Linked DNA regions of Tamandua tetradactyla. The protein of the gene in region 3 interacts with the protein of the main gene of each other region in a pairwise test. Links are inferred from orthologs where the notes say so. Each region holds a gene or a part of one and is shown on either strand. Other genes may lie near its edges.

What was found.
Region 1: the proteins of LITAF (region 3) and STAM2 interact in a two-hybrid assay, tested with the Homo sapiens proteins (4 studies listed by BioGRID and IntAct). The two-hybrid records come from large-scale screens. The link is inferred for Tamandua tetradactyla from reciprocal best matches to the Homo sapiens genes LITAF and STAM2.
Region 2: the proteins of LITAF (region 3) and HIP1 interact in binary tests that used the Homo sapiens proteins (3 or more experiments, as listed by UniProt). The link is inferred for Tamandua tetradactyla from reciprocal best matches to the Homo sapiens genes LITAF and HIP1.

What each region holds. Positions count from the first base shown.
Region 1 is NC_135329.1:122,449,223-122,456,729, forward strand, and holds the start of STAM2 (signal transducing adapter molecule 2), read right to left. Parts: upstream 3,067-7,507; 5' UTR 2,754-3,066; coding exon 2,714-2,753; intron 1-2,713.
Region 2 is NC_135349.1:10,852,758-10,860,395, forward strand, and holds the start of HIP1 (huntingtin-interacting protein 1), read left to right. Parts: upstream 1-4,593; 5' UTR 4,594-4,653; coding exon 4,654-4,773; intron 4,774-7,638. UniProt on the Homo sapiens protein: Plays a role in clathrin-mediated endocytosis and trafficking. Involved in regulating AMPA receptor trafficking in the central nervous system in an NMDA-dependent manner. Regulates presynaptic nerve terminal activity.
Region 3 is NC_135349.1:45,797,810-45,804,795, reverse strand, and holds the start of LITAF (lipopolysaccharide-induced tumor necrosis factor-alpha factor), read right to left. Parts: upstream 3,083-6,986; 5' UTR 3,001-3,082; intron 2,911-3,000; exon of another isoform or gene 1,664-2,910; intron 1-1,663.

The DNA.
Region 1 (7,507 bases), on a different chromosome or scaffold from region 3:
TCTGATAGCACTATATTTACTACATATTACATATTATTGAATAGCACTGTATTTACTACATTTACTACATATACATATTATAGGCATGGTTTTTTTTAACTTTTTTATTAATTAAAAAAATTAACATGCAAAACATTAAGATATCTATTCTACATATACAATCAGTAATTCTTAATATCATTACCTAGTTGCATATTCATCATTTCTTAGAACATTTGCATCGATTTAGAAAAAGAAATAAAAAGACAACAGAAAAAGAAATAAAATAAGAGAAAAAAAAAGATTATACATACCATACTCCTTAGCCCTCGCTTTCATTTACCACTAGCATTTCAAACTAAATTTATTTTAACATTTGTTCCCCCTATTATTTATTTTTATTCCATATGTTCTACTCTTCTGTTGATATAGTAGCTAAAAGGAGCATCAGACACAAGGTTTTCACATTCACAGAGTCTCACTGTGAAAGCTATATCATTGTTCAATCATCATCAAGAAACATGGCTACTGGAACACAGCTCTACATTTTCAGGCAGTTCCCTCCAGCCTCTCCGCTACATCTTGAACAAGGTGCTATCTGCTTAATGCCAACCAAGAATTCTATATCCAGAAAAATTGTCCTTCAAAAATGAGGGAGAAATTAAAACATTTTCAGACAAAAAATCACTGAGAGAATTTGTGACCAAGAGACCAGCTAGGCATGGGTTTTTTAATGTTCTTTTCATATGTGTCCTCTATTAGATTAAGTTCTTTGAGGGCAGAAACTCTCAATCTATTTATTCAACTTCCTGTCCCCAGAACTTAACACGATGCTTGACAGAGTATCTTTTGGTGCATGTTTGTTGAATGAGCAGTGAACAAATGTACAGCAAGAAGAAACAGAGCAGGTGAAAAAGACAATAACAAAGACTGTGAGGGAACACTCCTGTAGACATCTCAAGTCATAAATAATGACTTGCTTTGTATTATTTCAAATTAAAAGGCGCTTTTAAGATCTGAAAAATGTAAAATAGAATTCTTCTGTTATGATACAGGTTTAAAGGCTAATCTGAAATCTTTAGTATATCATTCCACTTTTGTTATTAACTCCCTGCACTTGACTAAAAGTTACAGGTGGGCCTCAATCAAACATGTTCTTTCATTCAGTCATACTTGAGCTAACAATTAAGCACTTGAGGCTTCTGCTGATGGCACTCCTGTGAAAAAAATTTATATACCGCAGAGTTTTTGGTCCCAACAACAGTGCCTCTTTTACTAAACTATATTCCACTAAACCATGTGGAGGGCCTCAGGAACCACAGAAGGTAAGATTTAGAGAGCAAACAGGCAGAGTTCCTCAGCCTACTTAGACCAGGGAAGTTTTCAATCACAAAAACATTGGGCTTCTGGGAAGGATTTCCCTTGAAGAAATAATTCCACCATTTTTACATTTTAAGATCATTTTACTTATTCTATTTCACCCTTTCTATTTTATTTCATTGGAACAAAATAAAAGTCTTTCTCATTGAAAAGTACAACTCAAAAAAAAACTAAGGAAAAAACAAAAAGTACAATTCTCACAAAGGTAAAACAGTTGCAACAAAGAAACCATTAGGTATTCCAAAAGCAGAAACAGTGCACTTCAACATGCTGTTTCCCAGATTTATGTCAGGCACTGTGTTCCATTATCAAGAAAAAAGTTTAATGAAATAAGGAACATGCCCACCTGAATACTATCTGAGGGTCAAGATATAAATATTTCAGCTCTCTAGGAATAGAAGAGGCTTATAACATTCGTCTTATTTGACTCTCACATATATGACTTTTGAATACACCTATAGCTTCACATAATATATCAAAAGAAGGAACTTTCTAGAGTCTTCTCATAATTAGAAAAATGTAACTATGAAACAGGTGGCTTGCTGCTGCCTGCGAGACTAAGGCAATTTTCAGCTATGCTTTTTATTCCACCAAGGCCTAAAACTCTACCTAGAGTTAACTATTGCTACGAAATGTTTTCTTAGTTTGTTTTACTGTTATTCCAAAGCTCAAAATAAGTCTCTACGTTTCATCCTTCCTTTTCTCATTCCACTGTCACTGAGAGGCAAATACTCTTACGACCCAACAAGTAAATATTAGCTGTTTTGAACTGTTTTGAGATCCTCGGGTTGGCACTTTCCTTTTCATACTCTTGAGACAGAAAACATCTCGTAACACCTGCGCCATTTGAGATTCAAGAGTAACACCTCCAACTGTAAACAAATCCTGAGGCTGCACCATCAGGAACTGGATGTATTTGTATATAAGCAACGTTAGATGAATTTTCCCTACATAACGGGGTGAATCAAGGTCTCTAGGGTTGCCCTAGACAGTAGGGTCCCCACTACAGCATCATCGCCCTAAAAGGAGGGCGGCGGGGCTCAATAGCCAGGAGAGGGAGAGCAGGAAGTTTCTATCACCAACTCCGCAATAGCTTAATTAGTCCAGCCTCCAGCGAGCCCCCACGCTCCTCCGATTCCGGAGCTTGGCGTGGCGAACGATAGTCTTTGGGTCCTCGACCTCAGAAAAGTAGGAGACATCCTCTAAACCGCTGGCGACGCGCGCAGGATACCCCCTAAAAAACACGGGCGCCCAGGCGGCGGCACCGCCCCTTCTCTCCTTCAGCTAGACTTCCTAATCCTTAAACCCGCCGCCTCCCACTTTCTAGTTGGACAGACAGCCCGGCGCCACTCACCAACGTCCTGCTCGAAAGGGTTAGCGGTGAAAAGAGGCATGTCGCCAGCACCCGAGCCCTAGTCGCTGGAGTCTGGCTGAGGCTCCGCAACTAATCCCTGCTTGGTGACCCCGGGCCGCGGCTTCCTACCCGCTGAGCTCGGGCCACAGTCCTAGCATTTGCGCCACCGCACCTGCCCGGCTCCCGCCTGACGGGCAGACTCCCGGTCCACGCTCCGCCCCGCGGCCAGCCGCGAGGTAGCCTCCCGGGTCAAAGTCTTTCCAGCCGCGGACATCCTCCCGGTGGCCCTTTCGCCGCCGCGCGCCGGGACAACGTGGCAGCCGTGTTCCCAGCTTCCCTCATGGTTCAGGCGGCCGCCCTGGCCACCTTTCCATCGTTAGGACCCCGCCGAGCCACGGAGCGGGGACCTTCGGCGCCGGAAGTTGTCGCGCCTAGAACCGGGCAACGCCGGAGGCCCGGAAGCTATTGAATCGGTGGCAATTCGGCAGAGTCCGGGCAATCCTGGGTTTTCTGCTCAGGGCAACCGGCTTAGACGCCGCGTTCCTATTTCTGTGTCAGGTTAGTTCCTGAACCAGTCCCTTGCAGTCGTGGGCCCGCAACTACGTTTCTGTCACAGTGTTGTTGCCTTGGAAACGGAGCCGCCGACACACAGGTGGCTTTGACAGTCTGGGAATGGCCTGGCTCAGCTCCCGGGCGCTTTCGGTGTTGTATCCTCTTTTGCACTTGACCCCGGCAGTAGAAAAAAAAAAAAAGACACCCGGAAAACAGTAGTACAAGAAACTATATCTGTAAGACGTCCTAATTTCGCCTTCCATAGTGTTCTCGCCATGAAAACATTGCTCGGTTCTTGGAATACAAGAACGAATGAAGCCCAGTCCCTGCCTTCAAGAATTGCTGACGGTTTTATAGGAGCAGTTATTCATACATGACAGCATAGGGAAGATCCTGATATACAGTAGGAGTCACAAACTCAGATTCCCATAGCAGCCAGCCAGTTTAAAAATGGATGTGTAAGTGCAAGAATCTTTCCCAAACACACATTGTCCTTTCCTCTCAACCCTGTTTAATTTTTTCCCATGGTATTTAACTCTTCGTAATATATCATTTATTTGTCTGTCTTTCCTGGTTAAAATATAAACACCATGATCAGTTTTATTTATGCTGTATCCATAGCGTTTAAAAGTGACAATAGGTGCTCAATGAATGCTTTTGTACTATCAAACTGAACAGCGCTTATACCTAAAGACTGCAACTGTTAGTAAGCTTCAGCCGTTTGTTGAAATATGGGCCCATAATATTAGCACTTCTAGTAGAACTATTTCAACATTTTAAACAGTGGAACAAATAAAATCGTTTTACAACCTCTAGGTATAGAGATGGTATTATAGAAGAGAGAAGCCTTACACATGTAATAATTCAGAAAGATAGCGGCATTTTTTTATTTTAAAGATAGGTGTAGAAATGAGAAGGGAATATCTGCAGATGAAGGGGCTGGTTTTCAAAAGCCACTGAACCTAGGAGGTACAAGATATTTGGAGCCTTTCTGGGTGGGTTTGTCTAGAGTTAAGGCTCAGTATTGGAAAAGAAAACGGGTAGATAAAGGTAGGAGGAAACAGAGAAGAGCCTTAAAGAGCAAACTAAGAAATTTCAATTTTAGCACATTAAGGATTTTGAGAAGCAGAGTAGTATAATAAAACAGTTTCTGGAATATTAATTTGACATCAGTGTTCATGATGGATATAAAGAAACAGACCCAGACGGAACAATTTAGGAGGTTATTGCAGCACTTGAAAACCCTGAGAGGAGATTTTGTCAGAGAGTTGTATTGAGCTAAGAGCAGAGGTTGAGGATTAGCCTTTGGAAAGCATTCACATTTTAAAGTGACTTCTTTAGCTCCTCCTGCTCCATAATAGCAAGTACACCCAAAAATCTATAGGTGTTTACCTTTAGATGTATGTACTCAGTTCTTGATGAGTTCATTCAAACGACAAATTTTGAATAGTCACTAGGAGCTAGACCCTATGTTAAAAACAAGAAAAAACAAATATTGTTCATTGTTACTTCATCTAATGAAGTTACTTCATCTAATGAATGAATCTAATATGTTGGTTTTAACCCACAAATTCTGGTGTGCAAAGAGATGCATTTTCATCTTTCTATAATACCATCTTTTTTGAGTCTCTGTCTCCCTGATGACAAATGCAAAATAATCTTACCAATTTCAGATAAATCCAGCCTCTTTAAAGTTTTCTTTATTAATTTGGGTTTACACTTCAAATTGATGATTTCCTTCCCTCGGGCCACCTTCCCCACATACCTATACCAAGCTGATGACCAAATGTACGTCTGAGGATTTCCTCTCATTGTTGTCTTTCAGAGCAAGCTGTGGACACTAAGTCCACATTAGTAAATTCATCTGATCCTTACGGGTTTTTTGCCCTTCTCTGTACCACTGGGGCTTGCCAGAGATTCCTCACTGTATCTGTTCTTTTTCTTTTGCAATTTTATTGAGATATAGTCACATTGATGTTTCTTCTTTGGAATATCAACATGATTAGGGTCTTTATTAGTCAGGATCCAGCCAGAAGACAGAAACAACACTAAATTGAACAGAGAATTTAATTGTTAACCAGGTTTTTTAAAAAATGAGCTACAGAAAAGTAAAAGGACCGCGCGGCGCCCACGCCCGGCAGCAGCGGACCCGCCCGCCCTCCTCTCCCCTCTTTTGTCCGCCGGCCCGCCGCGTGGTGCCCACGCCCCGCAGCAGCAGACCCGCCTGCCCTCCTCTCCCCTCTTCCACCTTCACCAGCTCCTCCACCACCAGCCTCGACAGCTTTGCCACCCTCACCTTTCCTCCTCCAGAACAGCTACTGGGGGAGTGGAGATAATACAGAGCAGCTCCCGGAGCCACGAGGGAGATCAAAGGGACAGCGTACCCCATCCTGGAACGGCTGACTATCTGGGAGAACCAGCTCCGGTGAGATCACCAAGGGGCACGGGCTTTCCTGGGTGGGACGGCAAGCGACCGGAGTCCCTCCCTTCCACCTTCCCAGGCCAGCTGGTAGAATTGGACAGGCGGTCCCCTTAGGCCGCGGCGGCTGGTGCCCCCACCACACGAGGCCCCCCGGACCAACAGAGAGTTGGGTCGGAAATCCCCAGGCTGCTGTGAACAGTGACCGGGGGATCCCTTCCAAACACGTGACTCCCCCGTCCGGCTGGGAACAGTGCACTCTCCCGGGCTGCGACAGCTGGCGCCCTCCCGCCACGCTTGGCGCCCCGGGCCGACTAGCTAATTCGGCCAGACGCTCTCCCGTGCTGCGGTGGCCGGCGACCCTCCCCGCATTCGGAACCCCAGGCCGGCTGGCACTCTTCCAAGACGCTTCGGCTGCCGAACCTCCCCTACGGCGAGAATTTTCCAGAGTTAAAGGACCCACAGCAACTTTCACTGCTGTAACCCGTAGACAAACGTGTGCCACGAGCGCCACCTACTGGGCAGGATAAGAAAAACAGAACCCAGAGATTGCACAGAAAAATCTTTCAACCTGTGGGGTCGAACACCCAGGGAAATCTGACTAAATGCCCAGACGCCAGCAGAAGATAACGGATCACGCTCAGAAAATTGAACATATGGCCCAGTCAAACAAACAAACCAATAGTTCAAATGAGATACAGGAGCTGAAACAACTAATGCTGAATATACGAACAGAAATGGAAAACCTCTTCAAAAACGAAATCAATAAATTGAGGGAGGACATGAAGAAGACATGGGCTGAACATAAAGAAGAAATAGAAAAACTGAAAAAACAAATCACAAAACTTATGGAAGTGAAACATAAAGTAGAAAAGATGGAAAAAACAATGGATACCTACAATGACAGATTTAAAGAGACAGAAGATAGAATTAGTGATTTGGAGGATGAAACATCTGAATTCCAAAAAGAAACAGAAACTATAGGGAAAAGAATGGAAAAATTTGAACAAGGTATCAGGGAATTCAAAGACAATGTGAACCGTACAAATATACGTGTAGTGGGTGTCCCAGAAGGAGAAGAGAAGGGAAAAGGAGGAGAAAAACTAATGGAAGAAATTATCACTGAAAATTTCCCAACTCTTATGAAAGACCTAAAATTACAGATCCAAGAAGTGCAGCGCACCCCAAAGAGATTAGACACAAATAGGCGTTCCCCAAGACACTTACTAGTTAGAATGTCAGAGGTCAAAGAGAAAGAGAGGATCTTGAAAGCAGCGAGAGAGAAGCAATCCATCACATACAAGGGAAACCCAATAAGACTATGTGTAGATTTCTCAGCAGAAACCATGGAAGCTAGAAGACAGTGGGATGATATATTTAAGTTACTAAAAGAGAAAAACTGCCAGCCAAGACTCCTATATCCAGCAAAATTGTCCTTCAAAAATGAGGGAGAAATTAAAACATTCTCAGACAAAAAGTCACTAAGAGAATTTGTGACCAAGAGACGAGCTCTGCAAGAAATACTAAAGGAAGCACTAGAGTCAGATACAAAAAGACAGAAGAGAGAGGCATGGAGAAAAGTGTAGAAAGAAGGAAAGTCAGATATGATATATATAATACAAAAGGCAAAATGGTAGAGGAAAATATTATCCAAACAGTAATAACTCTAAATGTTAATGGACTGAATTCCCCAATCAAAAGACATGGATTAAAAGACAGGATCCTTCTATATGCTGTCTACAGGAAACACATCTTAGACCCAAAGATAAATATAGGTTGAAAGTGAAAGGTTGGGAAAAGATATTTCATGCAAATAACAACCA
Region 2 (7,638 bases), about 35 Mb from region 3:
ATTTGTGGGAAAACTGTGAAATTTGAATACAGTTTGTCATCCAGTTAATAGCATTGTACCAACGTTAATTTCTTAGTGTTGATCATTTTTACCGTGGTTACATAAGATGTCAACATAAGGGGAGGCTGGGCGAAGGTTATAAAGAAACTCCTTGCATTATATTTGCAATTTTCTTTAGAAGTCTATATTATTTCATAAAAAGAAAGTTTTAAAAATATGGACAAAATATTGAGGTGTACACTCCAGCAAAGAGAATTTGGGATGTGAAATAAACATATGGAACGATGCCCAACATCATGAGTTATTAGGGAATTGCAAATATAAACACCAATGAATGACCATTGCACATTCACTAGACCGGTTAAAAATAAAAGACTGATCGTACCAAGTGCTGACAAGAATGTGGAGCAACTGGAATTCTCATACTGATGCTGGGAATGTGTAATGGCACAATCACTTTGGAAAACGGTTTGGAGATTTCTTAAAAAGTTAAAAACACACTTGCCATACAATCCAGACATTACCACCCTAGGCATTTACCCAAGAGAAATGAAAGCATATATACATACAAAATCTTATTCATAAATGTTCACAGCCACCTTTTAAATTGCTTTTAATTTTTCTTATTGAAGCTGAATTGACATAAAGTAAAATTAACCATTTTTAAATTAACAGTTCAGTGCATTTGATACCTTCACAAAGTTATGAAACCACCACCTCTATCTAGTTCCAAAACATTTTCATCACCCCAAAAGGAAAACCTGTACCCACTAAGCAGCTCCTTCCCATTCTCCCTTCCCTCTAGCCCCAAGCAACCACCAATTTGCATTCTGTCTCCATGGATTCACATATCCTGGTTATTTCATATAAATGAAATGATACAATACATGACCTTTTGTTTCTGCCTCCTTTAGCTTAGCATAATGTTTTCACGGTTCATCTGCATTGCAGCATGGAATCATAGCACCTGGAAACAACCTACATTTCCAACAGCAGGTGTGGCAGTTTGAAGCTGTTATGTACCCCAGAAAAAGTCATGTTCTTTTAATCCATTCTTGTGGGTGCAGACCTATGAAGGGAAGGTCCTTTTGATGAGGTTGTTTCAATTGAGATGTGACCCAGCCCATTCAAGGAGGCTCTTAATCCTTTACTGGAGTCCTTTATGAGGATGAAAGACAGAAAAACCAAGAGAAACTCAAAGAAACACCCAGGGAGAGCTTAGGGAGTAAAGCCTCAGAGGAGCTAAGAGAGGACCCACAGATGCTCGGAGAGAAAGCCACAGGAATCAGAGGCTGAAGGCAATGGAACCTGGCAATGAAGGACCAGCAGATTCCGGCCATGTGCCTTTCCATGTGACAGAGTGTCCCGGATGCTGGCAGCCTTTCTTCAGAGTCCACATATCATCCTGTGCACGCCTTCATTGGGACATGGACGTTTTCATGACCTAAGAACTGTAAATTGTTGAGTTAATAAATACCATTGTAAACACCAGTCCATTTCTGGTATATTGCATTCTAGCAGCTTTAGCAAACCCAAATAGCAGGCTAGTGGATAAACAATTGTAGATTATCCATACAATGAACACTACTCAGCAGTAAAAAGGTACAAATATTGATACGTGCAACAACATACATGAATTCCAAAATAATTACTCGGAGTAAAAATGCCAAACAAAAAAGAGGATGTATTGTATACTTCCATTAATAGAAAATTCTAGAAAATGCAAACTAATCTACAGCTATAGAAAGCAGATCAGTAGTTCCCTAGGCACAGGAACAAATTATAAAGGGGCACGAGGAAATTCAGCAGGTGATGGATGATTATTATCTTGGTTGTGGTGATGGTTTTACAAATGTATATATATATATATGTCAAAACTCACCAAATTGTACACTTTAAATATATGCAGTTTAAATAACGTCAATTATATCTCAATAAAAGCTATTAAAAATGTGTATCTGGGCTCCAGGAACCCGGAGGAATAGTGTGATCAGTGTATATCTTCTCATACTAGATGCTACACCATATCCAAACTAGGTGTGGGGTGGGAACTTTTTCACCAGTTATGGAGAGGTACATGATAGGACACGTCCCACTGTGGGTTTTGGGCACTCCCCAGAGATTACGATTTCATGTCCAGAAACAAGTGATTCTTAAGTCCCTAGGTGAGAAGGTAAGAGCTGACTGAAGCTAGCAAAGTCCTATAGTTTATGGCCTGGGAAGGGGGTTCCCTTTAGCCCTTGGTAAAGGGTTTCGCTGCTGCAGCAGTTGGGCACGCCTTACATTTACTTTTCTCTGAATTTCACAGAGGAAGATAACTCCCTTGAGTCTTTCTCTACCCCGTGCCTCCAAACCACAAATTTCCTGAATTCCTACTCTGATTTATTCTAATAAAAACTAGGCTGATCCTTTAATCCCTGTTTAAAGGGCCCATGTTTGTTGAAGCCATAAAGTCTGAGCAAAAGGTCATAAATCATTCCTTACCCTGATCTAGAGCACAAGGCAGGTAGGAGACTAGACAAGCCATGGGCAGCCAGAGGTAATATTATTACAAAGCTCGTCTGTTTCTTTGGTTGTTTTCCCTTCTGGACATCTCCTGTGAACCTCCTGTGCTGGAACTCTCCACCTGCCCCTCCAGACCCCCCTCTCCACTCTTTCCCACCCCACTCTGTGCCTAGAAGGAGGGGAGTGGCAAGGCTGACTGCCTCGTCCTTGCCCTCTCTCTGGCTTTCTGTTGGATTTGGCCAATGGGAAGAAATAGTAGAAAATCCAAGGACAGAAAGAAACTGGGACACTCATTCCCCAGCTCCCTGCAGACCAAGCTGTTTTTCCTTAATTGCTGTGTTTTTCTACCTAAGATTCAGGTGTCTCCTCTCACCATGAGGACTCTCAGCTGGCTCAGGTAGAGCTCCCTCCCCTGGTCTCTCCAAGTCTAGAGGTGACAACAGCTCCTCAGTGTTCTAGCCTCTCAATGCTTCACCATCAAACTTTCTCCTTTTGAGTGAGTGTGTAATCCTTTCCTTCCAGAACTCTGACTGATACACCCTCACATCTACCAAACCCCACCCCCATCTATTGTCTGCATCCCCTAACAATGCACAGTTAGCTGAGACATCATCTTTGAGTCCCCTGTTACTCCCTTCCCCTCCTGGCCTTGTTTCCCCTCTGTTTCTCCTGTCCCCCCTACCTCGCCCCTTCTATTTCCACCCAGTTGGCCACTTTGATTTTGTTTTGTCCATACTGAAGTCATCTCTTCCTCAGCCAGCTTCCCCACTGTACCCTGGACTCAATGCCATCTCCCTGGCCTCATGGCAATCCGTTCCCACCACACTGCCACTACAGACATTCTGGAATCACGGCTTCCTTCCCCTGTCATCCCCTTTGTCCACACCTTATTCACCTAACCTCCCACGGGACAAAGCTTTCTGTTGTCCATTCTAGTTTAGGACCTCATTGTCTCTCAACTGCTGCTGGACTCCTTCCACTTGACACCCCCCACCCCCACCCCGTGTCCTCAGAGGCCAGCAAACCTTGAGGGACTCCCTAGTACCCGCAAACGCCCACACCTTCTCTGAGTGTGTGAATTGTTACCAAACGTTGTTTTAAACACTTGAAAAAAAATACACCGACTGTTTAATGCTTACCGGGGGCATTCTTTGAGTTACAAAGAATATCTTCAAAAACATCAAAATTAGAATTTCATGGAAAACGTCTAACTTTCTCAGCATCTCCGCGAAGGAGCCCACTTCTCTCCTGCTGTGGCTACCTTGGCTGACGCCTCTGGGGAGGAGAGAGGGGTGGCGCCGAGCCGTGGATTAAACGGAAAGTTTCCACCCACAAGTGAGTTCTGGTTCGGGTCCAAATGATGAGAGGTTAGGGAAGAAGGGGCCGGGAGGTCCCCACTGACCCAGCCCGGCGCTCCCGGACCTCGAGTCTGCGATCAGGACAGAGGGCACCGCAGGGATGCAGGGTCAGGATGGAGGAAGAAGCCAAAGGGACGGACTGGGAGCTGGGTGGGGGCCTGGACCGAAGCTGACCCTTCCCGGGGGGGGGGGGGGCTGTCCTTCCAGGCCCGAAAGGAGTAAACAGGCTATTCCCAGCCGGGCCCGGACTCCCCGGGGAAGGCCCGAGTCCCCAGCCGGCGTGACCCCCAGACCCCCACTTCAGGATCTTGGTTCTTCTAAGTGCCTCCAGGGGCGCTTTCCGGAGGGAAACTGCGCTCGGGACCCGGAGGGAAAGGGCGGGGAGGGGGAGGGGAGGGGAAAGCGGGCGGTGCGCGGCGGGGAGGGGCGTGCGAGGGCGGGTCGGGGTAGCCCCTAGGCCCCGCCCCTTCGGCCGCCCCGCCCCTGCCAGGCGCGGCGAGACCGCGGTGATGGACAGGCCTGTGGACCGGTCACAGCGCGCGCCTCGCGATCGGGCGCCGCCCAGCGGACCCAGCCGACCCAGCGAGCCGAGGGGCTCCGGAGCAGGCTGGGCGGGCGGGGAAGCCTCCCGGCGAGGGGCGGGGCCTCGGGGGAGAGGAGCAGCGCTCCCAGCCAATGGGAGGCGGGAGCCGTCCCGTTAGCGCCGGATCCCGGTGGGTAGGGCGGGGCAGGCAGCCCCGCGGGGATCCCCGGGCGGCCGACGGCCCCTGACTCTGCTCCGCGCGGCGACATGGACCGGATGGCCAGCTCCATGAAACAGGTGCCTAACCCGCTGCCCAAGGTGTTGAGCCGGCGCGGGGTCGGCGCGGGGCTCGAGGCGGCCGAGCGGGAGAGCTTCGAGCGGACTCAGGTGAGGACCTGGGCGCCCCGGGACAGAACCGGGGCACCCCGAGAGACTGTGTCCGGGAGGGGGCTTTGAAGAGATTAGGGGTCTTGTGGGCCCAGGAGAGGACGGGGCCAGGGGTCCGCGAGGGGGCCGGCGTCTGGTTCGCAGATCCAGGCGATCGGAGGAAGGTGGGGGTGCCCCGGGGCATCCCGGCTGCCCGGGGGCGGGAAGGGTGGGAGGGGAAGGGACGGACTCCGCGAAACGGGGCTCACCGGTGGGGGAGGGGGGGAGGCGGGGGCAAAGCGAAGTGGACCCGGCCGGTAAAGCGGCGGGTTCCCGAGGGGAGGTGAGAGCGGCAGGAGCCGAAAAGGGGCCCTAGGAGAGGGCATGGTGGACGCATTGGATGTTATTTGGGGTGCATTGGGGGTGGGGAGGTGAAAGGAAGGGAGCCCTCTCCTCCCGTCTGGATCCGCCGCTTCTCGGTTGCACTGCCATGTCCCTAAACCTCTAGCACCCCTCCAACCTCTTGGCACCCGTTCCTCCGCGCCCCTTGCCTGGTCCTCACCGCCCCCAGCTGTCGGCCTTCCGAGGTCGGGGCCCAGGGGTAAGAGCGGTGAGAAGGAATGTAGGAAATGCGGAGCGTGGCCCAGCTTGGAAAATGACTCGGGGTTGGAGGAGGGGACCCGGCAGGGGGCAGAGATGGGGGCGCTTGGCGTGCCCCGGGCCGCTCTCTGCTGCTTGGGATGAGCTGCCCGGCCGTGTCCCGAGCCCTGACTTGGGGTTTTGTTTCAGGGCTCTTAAGATGCGCCTGGCAGCTAGCAGGCAGATGCCCTATTTGTCCAGCCCGACCAGGGCTTGGGGCCAAAAATTCCTCAGTGTCATCAACAAAAAGCCACAATCCATTTTTCCATCGGAGTTTTTAAATGCCTGATGTATCGATTTGACTGAAGAAAGCCGGCAAGTGTATGCTGCTGATCAGTTCATTTGTATGTAAAAATCCATTTACAAGGGTGCAGCACTTCTTTCAATCCCAGTGCCAGGCTTTTATTTGCAGATTTGTTCCCCGTGCTTGCGCTTAGAGTGGAGCGTTTGAAGATCCAGTTGGGTGCCCGCTGCCCCCCTCTGGGCTCGCCAGCACAGGCGGTTGTTTTCCTCCAAACACAGTAGAAAGTTAGGGAAAGGGTGTTGGGGTTTAAGAAAAGAGGATGGACCTGATTGAAGCATTATCTCTGTGGAATTTTGTAAAGAATAAAGCTTTTTTCACCCCGGGGCTTTCTCTTCTCATTCTAGCAGCCTGTAGCCCCACCCGGGTGGGGTGTGTCTGGGTGCTGTGAAATGGGAAGGCTCATCTCCCCTGGGGCCATCCTACCCCAGAGGGGGAGAGAGAGAGAGGTGTCCTTTCCCTTCTGCCCTCCGCAAACCCTGCTGGGTTTGAGGCAGGTTCTCTGGCTGTGGGGTCTGGACCCCTGGAAAGCAGCACGTTTTCTGTGCCTGACCCGGCAGCATCTTGGGCTTCTCTGCCTGAGCTAGTTGCCTGGTTACATGACGCTTCTTGCTGCAGGAAACCGCTGTAGATTGTCCTTTTTTTTTTTTTAAAGAAAAGCGAAAAATAAACAGGGGCTACTTCGTAACAACCCATTCCTGCTATAGATTCAGATAAGTAAAAAACTGGAGCAATACAGAAATATGCACAGGACTTTGACCCGCTCCAGTGGTGGAAAGTAGGTTTGTGAAAGTTTCCATCCGTGACTGGCATGTCCTCTGGCTGTCCAGGGACAGCCCGACATGGAAAGTCTAGGTCAGTGTTTTCCAGTATTTTACATTCTGCAGAACAATTGCACTTGTCCAGATTTGACTTAATGCTGTGCTTGTGTGTGTGTGTGTGTGTGTGTGTGTGTGTGTGTAGGTGGACTGGAGGAAGAAAAGAAACTTTTCTATTGTTGAAACTATTTAGGGGAGTAGGAAAATGAAGACAGAAAAAAAAGAATGTTCCTAAAACCCAGCATTAATCAATCTGCAAAAAGATCATTTTGTTAAATGGCTACCTAGTAAATGTATACGATATAAAATTGAGTTACAAAATTTTTTTTAACGAGTTAGAGACCATGAGAATCAGCTAAGGTAATAATTATAACTTAGTTATTGTGTTTAGCACTTTTCTAAGTACTTTGCTGTATTACTGTACTTAATCTTGACAAAAACCTATGCGGTGGATATCAGTCACATATTACCACCGAGGAAACTGAGGCACAGAAGAGGTCAAGTCACATGCTACAGCTGGAAGTAGTCCCTACCTTTAACCTGTGAGTTTCCACCTGGGCAGATGAGTTGGCCACGTGGCCTTTGGCAAGCTGCCTCCCCTTTCTAAGCCTCAGTTTCCTAATTGTCCCGACAACACTTAACCTTGCAGATTTATTGTGGGAATTGAATTAAATTAAATGCGAGAAGGCATTTTGTGAACTGGAGCGTGCTATTCAAATGTAGCATAATATTGTTACAGTCCCAGGGGTAAGGAGACCTTAGAAAGCAGAAATTTAAGTGTTGGCCAAGGCCAGCTGAGCTCTTCAGGGGAGGAGCGGAAGTGTTTGTTACTACGTGATAGGGCTGAGAGTGCGGATAGAGTACAGGCTGGGGGACTGGGGAATGGTCGGGAGCACGAGGAGAACAGGGGGCTTTTCGGTAATGGGGACACTTCTGGAGGCAGAAAAACACGCAGGGTGGAGCCCTGGGCTGAGATGGAGAGAGGGGCAAAATCAGTCTCTTCCCCCTCTGAACTCCACAGTACATTTTGTACCCTCACCTGGCGCTTGCTAATACCTTGCCCCGAAATCTTTCTCTCTGCGTGGCCCACAGTCAACTGGGAGCTTCTTGAGGGCAGGCCTGGGTCCT
Region 3 (6,986 bases):
TACCTTATCAACAGACGAGTAAAACATATGGAATAAAGATGAATAATAGGGGGAACAAATGTTAAAATATTTAGAGTGAAATGCTGGTGATCGGTGAGGGGGAGGGGTGGGGGTAATGGTATGTACGAATTCTTTTCTGTTTTCTTTTTATTTCTTTTTCTGAATAGATGCAAATGTTCCAAGAAATGATCATGATGATGAATATGCAACTATGTGATGATATTGTGAGTTACTGATTATATATGAAGAACAGAATGATCAAAAGTTACGAATGTTTGCATTTGGTGGTTTTTTTGGTATTTAAAAATTTTTTTTAATTAATTAAAAAAATAGCAGTACATCATCAACAAATAACCTCACTGCACTAGCCAAGTCAATGCTAAGCACTCAAATTTACTTTTAATTTTAGACTGTCTCAAGAAACACTCAATTCTAAAGCTCCGTGAGCTGAATAGCTTAACTTCTGCACCCTTATTTTCTCTGAAGTTAAGACCGACAAAAAAGAAAGTGCTCTGGGCTTAGGATGCAGGTGTAGTAACTTCCTACCTGCTAGGAGGTGAGCGGGGAATCACAACAGCGCTGACACCTGCCATAGATACTTCCTTTCTTCTGTCAGTCCCTTAAACCCTGTAAAATTACAGTTTTTTTCCCACTGAGGTAGACACCTGTGGCCAAGGGACAACTCTGTTAGCTACAAAGGTGTTATCACGTCTGTCCAGAGCGTTAACGCTAGCTCGAACAAGGAGATGAGATTGTGAGGACCCGGGAAAGTTCCACCTGACACCACAGAACCATTCCAAGGAAAGGAAACACCAATCCTGTACAGAGCAGGCGATAGGTGGCGACCTCAAGCTGCCTCGCCCACTGGGCTGTTTTCACAGCAGTAAAAGCAAAAGTAAACAGAGGACAAGTCAGAGTGACAGGCCTCTAGTACTTCCTCGTATGGGCTGTGGATCCCCACTTTTCCACCCTCACGGTAAGCTCTGGGGAGATTCATCTTCGGATGGGCACCAAATTACCCACCCATCAATCAGCAGGGATGGCAGTGGAAGCAAAGCAGGTGCCAAGTATCTTCTGGAAGATTAATTTCAGCTGGAAATGCTTCCTAGTTCCTTTCACCTCAGTTGGTTCCCCTTTTACTGACCCCAGCCCCAGGGCTTGCCTGTGCCTCCTCTGCAGCTGTGCCGAGATTCTTCTGCCCCTCTAGAATGCTGCCCACCACATCCCCACTGCCAGATTTTGCTGAAGGATCATCTTTTCCATGAAGCTCCCCCTCGTTAACCTGGCCCTGTGCTCAGAGCAGCCTTTTCCCTCCTCTCAATCTCCCTCCAGAGTTACAAGAGCATTTGTGAGCACAAGCACCAGCTTTTTCACTTGTGCCTGTGTTTCCACTTTCCACACACAGCATAAGCCCCTCAGGACCAGGAGCCATTTCTTCTGCATCCTCTCCAGGGCAAATACAGTGCAAGATTTCCCCACAGTCAACCCATAAGAGCGGCTGAAGGAACAAAGGGAAATTTACTCATCAAAGCCAGCAAATGACTTCAATCTAGTATTTTAGAGACTTAAGAAATTGAGTTTTCGTTTTAGATCAATTACTGAGTCAATTAATCCACAAAAACACTCAACAAGGATACTTTCTGCAAATGTGAATAAAAGCATCTATTATTAATGTCATAGAGTAACAGGGAAGAGGAAAGATCGGCCTCTCCCATAGTGGCTCTACCATAAACGTTACTTAAGAGTGTGATGCACATTCAGGTCCCAGAGCAAAGGCTCGCTGAGAGGAGGGCAGCACAGGAATTATTCTATGCCAGGAAGAGTGAGTCACACGCCCTCTGGATCCTGATCCAATTATGATAAAACCAAACACCATGCTGATGTCCCAGATATCAGCTTGTACCTCTCTGTACTCATCATCTGGGTCAATCTGATTTTAAAACAGCCATCGAGCAGGCTGGGGATCGAGGTAGGAGGGCAGGTGGGGCAGCTATGCACACAGGTGCCAATCGTGAGTTTCCTGAAAAGGAACCCAGGGGGAACTGTTGCATCCAAATCCGGGTCCCAGGCAGCTCTTGAACCAACATCAGCTCACTGAGGCCGAAGGGAGGAATTTCCTTTGGGAAGACTGGTGGAAGGGAGGCCCGGTGCCTTCCAGAAACTGAATTTCTCAACAACCAAAGCTCAGTCCAACAGCCAATGACATCATCCGGAAGCACAATCCCTAAGAGAACCGGAGACGGTCCAAGTGACTGATCCCTGGAATGCACAGTCCTTCACGGCACATTCACTTCCCCGTCCCCTCTCTCCCCGGCCCTGGCCCCGAGCTGCGGGAATACCCGCCCCACCGCCCAGATCCGCGGAGCTCTGGAAACCGGAGGGTGGACAGGACTTGCTCGGCTTAGGGACAGGCGATGTCCACCCACTGACACCAACTCCCGGGGGCCGGGCCTTTCCCACGACATCTACGCGGCACCAGCCCGGGGCTGAGCTAGGCCACCCGCGAGAGGCTGAACCCCGCGCTCCAGGGGCTGTGCCCGCAGCTTTCACCTAGCTGGGGGCTCCCCAGGCCCTCGCGTGTCCACAGAAGCACCCGTGGATGGCGGTCCTGGATCCTGCGTGGAACCCCGGGGACACCGGTGAAGAACCGACGCCCGGAACCCTCAAGGTTCGAGGGAACCGGTGTCCAGAAATTCTGGTTTGTGTTTGTTTTTGAATCCCCAGGTGATGATCCTGGGGAATCTCAATTCTGAGTCCCGCGGCCACTACTGAGAACGGCGACTTTCCTGAAAAGCTGCCCACTCCGAGAGAAGGGGTCACCGCGGGCGCCCACCGCCCCCCGGCGCGCACGGATCCCCTGCCCCGAAAGGAAGTGATGCCCTGGAGCTCCCGGGCCGGAGTCCCAAGCAGGTGCTAGCGCCCCAGAGCCCCCCACAATTCGCAGCCGCCTGAACGCGGGGCCCCCACTCGCGCCCCCGCAGCCCCGCGCGCCTCACTCACCGCCGCCAGCGCCGGAGTCGAGCCGGGAGGTCTGAGCTGGCCGCGCGGGCGGGACGCGGCGCCGAGGACGGCCCGGCGGGAGGGGCGGGGCCCGGCGGGAGGGGTGGGGTGGGCGAGCTGGAAGGGCGGGACCCGGCGGGGTGGGCGGGGCGAGCCGGAGGGGCGGGACCGACGGGGTGGGCGGGGCCCGGCGGCTGCCTCGGGGTCTCAGTTTCCTGCCTCTCCCGCCTCCGCGCGCTGCGGGAGACGCGGGGGCCGCTTTCCCCCTACCCCAGGCCGTCGCCCACTCCCCACCTGCTTCCGGCGGGCTCGGAGTCCACCGATCCTTCGGATTCGACCCCGAGCCCTCCTCCCCTCCGATCGCCCACTGCCCTCGGAACACCCCCAGGGTACACCCCCGACCCCACGCGCTGACCTCGGAGCCCCCGCTCCCCCACCCCCACCCCGGCCGCATCCTCGCGCCTCCCCTCTCGGATTCTGCCCCTGCAAGTCCAGCTCTGCCCCGTGCCCGGGACACCCCACCCTCCCCTGATGCTTTCCCATCCCAACCCCCCAGCCCCCATCTCCCACATTCCCTCCCCACCTTCAGACCCCGCTCCCGCCAGCCTGAGGCCCCATGTCCGGGGCTGGCGTCCGCCCTGCCCGCGGAGCCGGCCATCTTCCACGCGTAATTCAGTTCAGTCCGTTCATAAGCGTTCGCGCAGCCCAAAACACCGCCTGGGACTTGGGCGAGCCGCTCACCCTCTCGGGGCCTTGGCCTCCTGTCTGTGAAATGGGCACCGTCACAGCATCTAGGGCTTAAGATCTACTTACAGAATTAACCCAGATGATGCAGATTTGGCCCAGGGTAAGGGTTAAGGAAAACCCATCTGCTGTTTTATTGCTTTGTCCCCACCCAGGTGTCCCTTGGCCCCTGGGAAGAACTTTCAGTCCTTCACGGAAAGCTCTGTAAATCAATAACTCCTCAAAACCTCCACTAGACCCCTTGCCCCTAAAGGGCTGCCCCCTGCCCCATCTACCTGCTGCGGGAGGGACAGGAGCCCTGGTCCCACTGGCCCTCTGGGAAGTCTTATAGGGCATTGATGAGTGCACTGGCTTTTAGGGTACACGGAGTCTTGGCCATGGGGAGCAACTGAGCCCCATGGTGGATGCAGAGACCTGGTTGGGAGACCCCTCAGCTTGTACAGTCACCTACCTTGATCTTGAGATATGAAAGACACTGAGATGCAGAAAGGAAAAATGACTTGCCCACTGTCCCACAGCAAACTGGTGCCAGGGCTGGGTCTAAACTGTCCCCTCTGTCCCAGCCCAAAGCTCCCCCCACCTTTCACCATTTCAACCCAGCTACCATCAGCCCAGAAAATATTACTAAATTGGAGGAAGGGGATTGCAAAGATCTCCCACACCTGGGGAGTCATCAAGTAGATGTTCTTAAGTGAAGGCACCCATTTATTATTTTACAGTTATAAAGGAAGCCAGATTATGCCCAACCGCTGCCCTTCTCCATTCTCAGAGTGCACTCGTGACAGGCAAAAAGATGGATTATCCAGAAATTAAACCAAAATATCACAGACCAGGGCAAGTGAGACACAGGCCCTACAAAATATGCCCTAATAAAATGTTCAAGAAAAAGCCCTCTAAGAATTCTTGGGAGTTGCCTGATTTCTTTCTTTCTTTTTTTTTTTTTTAAATTCTGCAGAGAGAAAAGCAACCACCAACTTGAATTTCGTTTTTTGCTTCCGGAATGCTACCACATCTTCATTCATTTTTCTACCCCCAACTGCTGAGCCACAACAGGAGCTGGCTTTCTCTTTTCATCTATCCTAAACACTTAACATGGCTGGGAGCTCACAATTATCTATGGTGAGAACTGTCAGAGTGTGACTCTTTTTAATCTCCCAAAACCACTGAGATTGAGTTTACAACCCAAGGGTTACAAGCAGGACATAAAAGTAAAAACAGCTATGCGATCTTGTCGATAGATGCAGAAAAAGCCTTTGACAAAATCCACAACACTTTCATGATAAAAACACTCAACAAAACCAGGAATAGAAGGGAACTTCCTCAAACTGATAAAGGGCATCTATGAAAACCCACAGCTAACTTCATACTTTGTACTTAAACTCTAAAAGCTTTCCCTCTAAGATCAGGAACAAAGCAAGGATGCCCACTCTTGCCACTCCTATTCAACATTGTAGTGGAAGTTCTAGCCAGAGCAGTTAGGCAATAAAATTAAATAAAAAGCACCTGGATTTAAAAAGAAGCAGTAAAACTGTGTTTGCATGACATGACCTTATATAGAAAAAACCCTAAGAAATTCACATCCACACAATGATTAGAGCTAATGAATGAGTTAAGCAAAGTTGCAGGATGCAAGATCAATATACAAAAATCAGTTTGTGCTTCTATACAGTAGCAATGAACAATCTGAAAATGAAATTAAGAAAACAATCCTATTTACAATAGCCTCAATAAGAATAAAGTCTTGGGTTTAATTTAACCCAAGGCACGCAAAGCCAGACTCTGAAAACTACAAAATGTTTAAAGAAATTAAAGCTCTAAATAAATGGAAAGACGTCCTGTGTTCATGGATTTGGAAGCTTAATATTGTCAATATGGCAAATCTCCCTCAAGTTGACCTACAGATACAATCCAGTTCTGTTATCAAAACTCCAACCGCCTTTTTTCTTTTTAGAACAGTTGTAAGTTTACAGAGAAATCAGCAGAAAGTTCCCCCCATACATACACAGACACAACTTTTCCTGTTATTAACATTTTGCATTAGCATGGTGCATATATTTGATATCACTGATGAATCAGTGTCCAATTTCCTTTTTTGCAGAAATGGAAAACCTGATCTTATGGAATTGCAAGAGAATGAGAGTGACTGCTAAGGGGTATGGATTTGGGGGGCATATATGGGGAGGTGATGAAAATATTCTGGAATTAGTGGTGATGGTTGCACAACATTCTGAATATACAAAAAAAAAATGTATCCTTAAAATGGTCAATTTCATGTTTTGTGAAGTTTATAAAAAAAAAGAATCGGGCATCTAGTGTATTAACTCATATAGGACTCTGGGAAGGTGTCACGCAGGCCACGCAGGGTTACAGGACAAACTGTGAGCATCTTGCCTCCCGGTGAAGATTTTTTTATCTGTGTTGTGCCTGGGGTGAGGAGGGGGTGGGGGTGGGACCTGGGAAGTGGACTCACCACACACGATACCTCTGCAATCGCACAGACCAGACAGAAAGGAAGAGACTTTTCCTCTGGGTATATTCTGAAACTTCAGAAATGACAGGTTACCTAAAATAATGCAGACTATGAGCCCATTTTTTGTCAAAAAAAAAAAAGAAAAAATTATATACAAAGGCACACGCTTAGAAAAAAGTTTTCCAACTTTTTCCAGCAGACAGAATGCCATAAATAGTCATCTCTGAATGATGGAAATCAGGTGGGGAATTTTTTTTCGTTCTCTTTTTGCTACTCTCCATTTTCTAATGTTTCCAGAACAAACACAAATTGCTTGTGTTTAAAAAAAAAAAAAATTAATTTTCAAAAAAGGAAGGCACCAGGTTGCCAGAACCAGCCGCCACGAAGGGTCTGTGTTGCCCATAACAATGAATTCAGGTAACTCATGTTTCCATAACAGCTTCTTAGTTCCAAAACACATGTCACCCACACACCTCCCACGGTTCACCCTCTCTGTGCAGCAGAGATTCTCACTGCTGAGTTATGAAAATGGGGAAACTGAGGCCCAGGAAGTCCCCCTCCCCCACACACCCCCAGCCCTGGCTGGAGCAGCTCTGCGTTCTTGCTGCTGCCAATACGGAACCGAAAGGCGGGGAGCTCAGAGGGGCCTGCAAGAAGGGATGCCAGATTTAGCCAATAAGTATACAGAACTCTCACTTTAATGAATTTCATATAAACAGATTTTTTTATATATATAAGTATGTATGTCTCAAATCTTGCACAGGACACACTC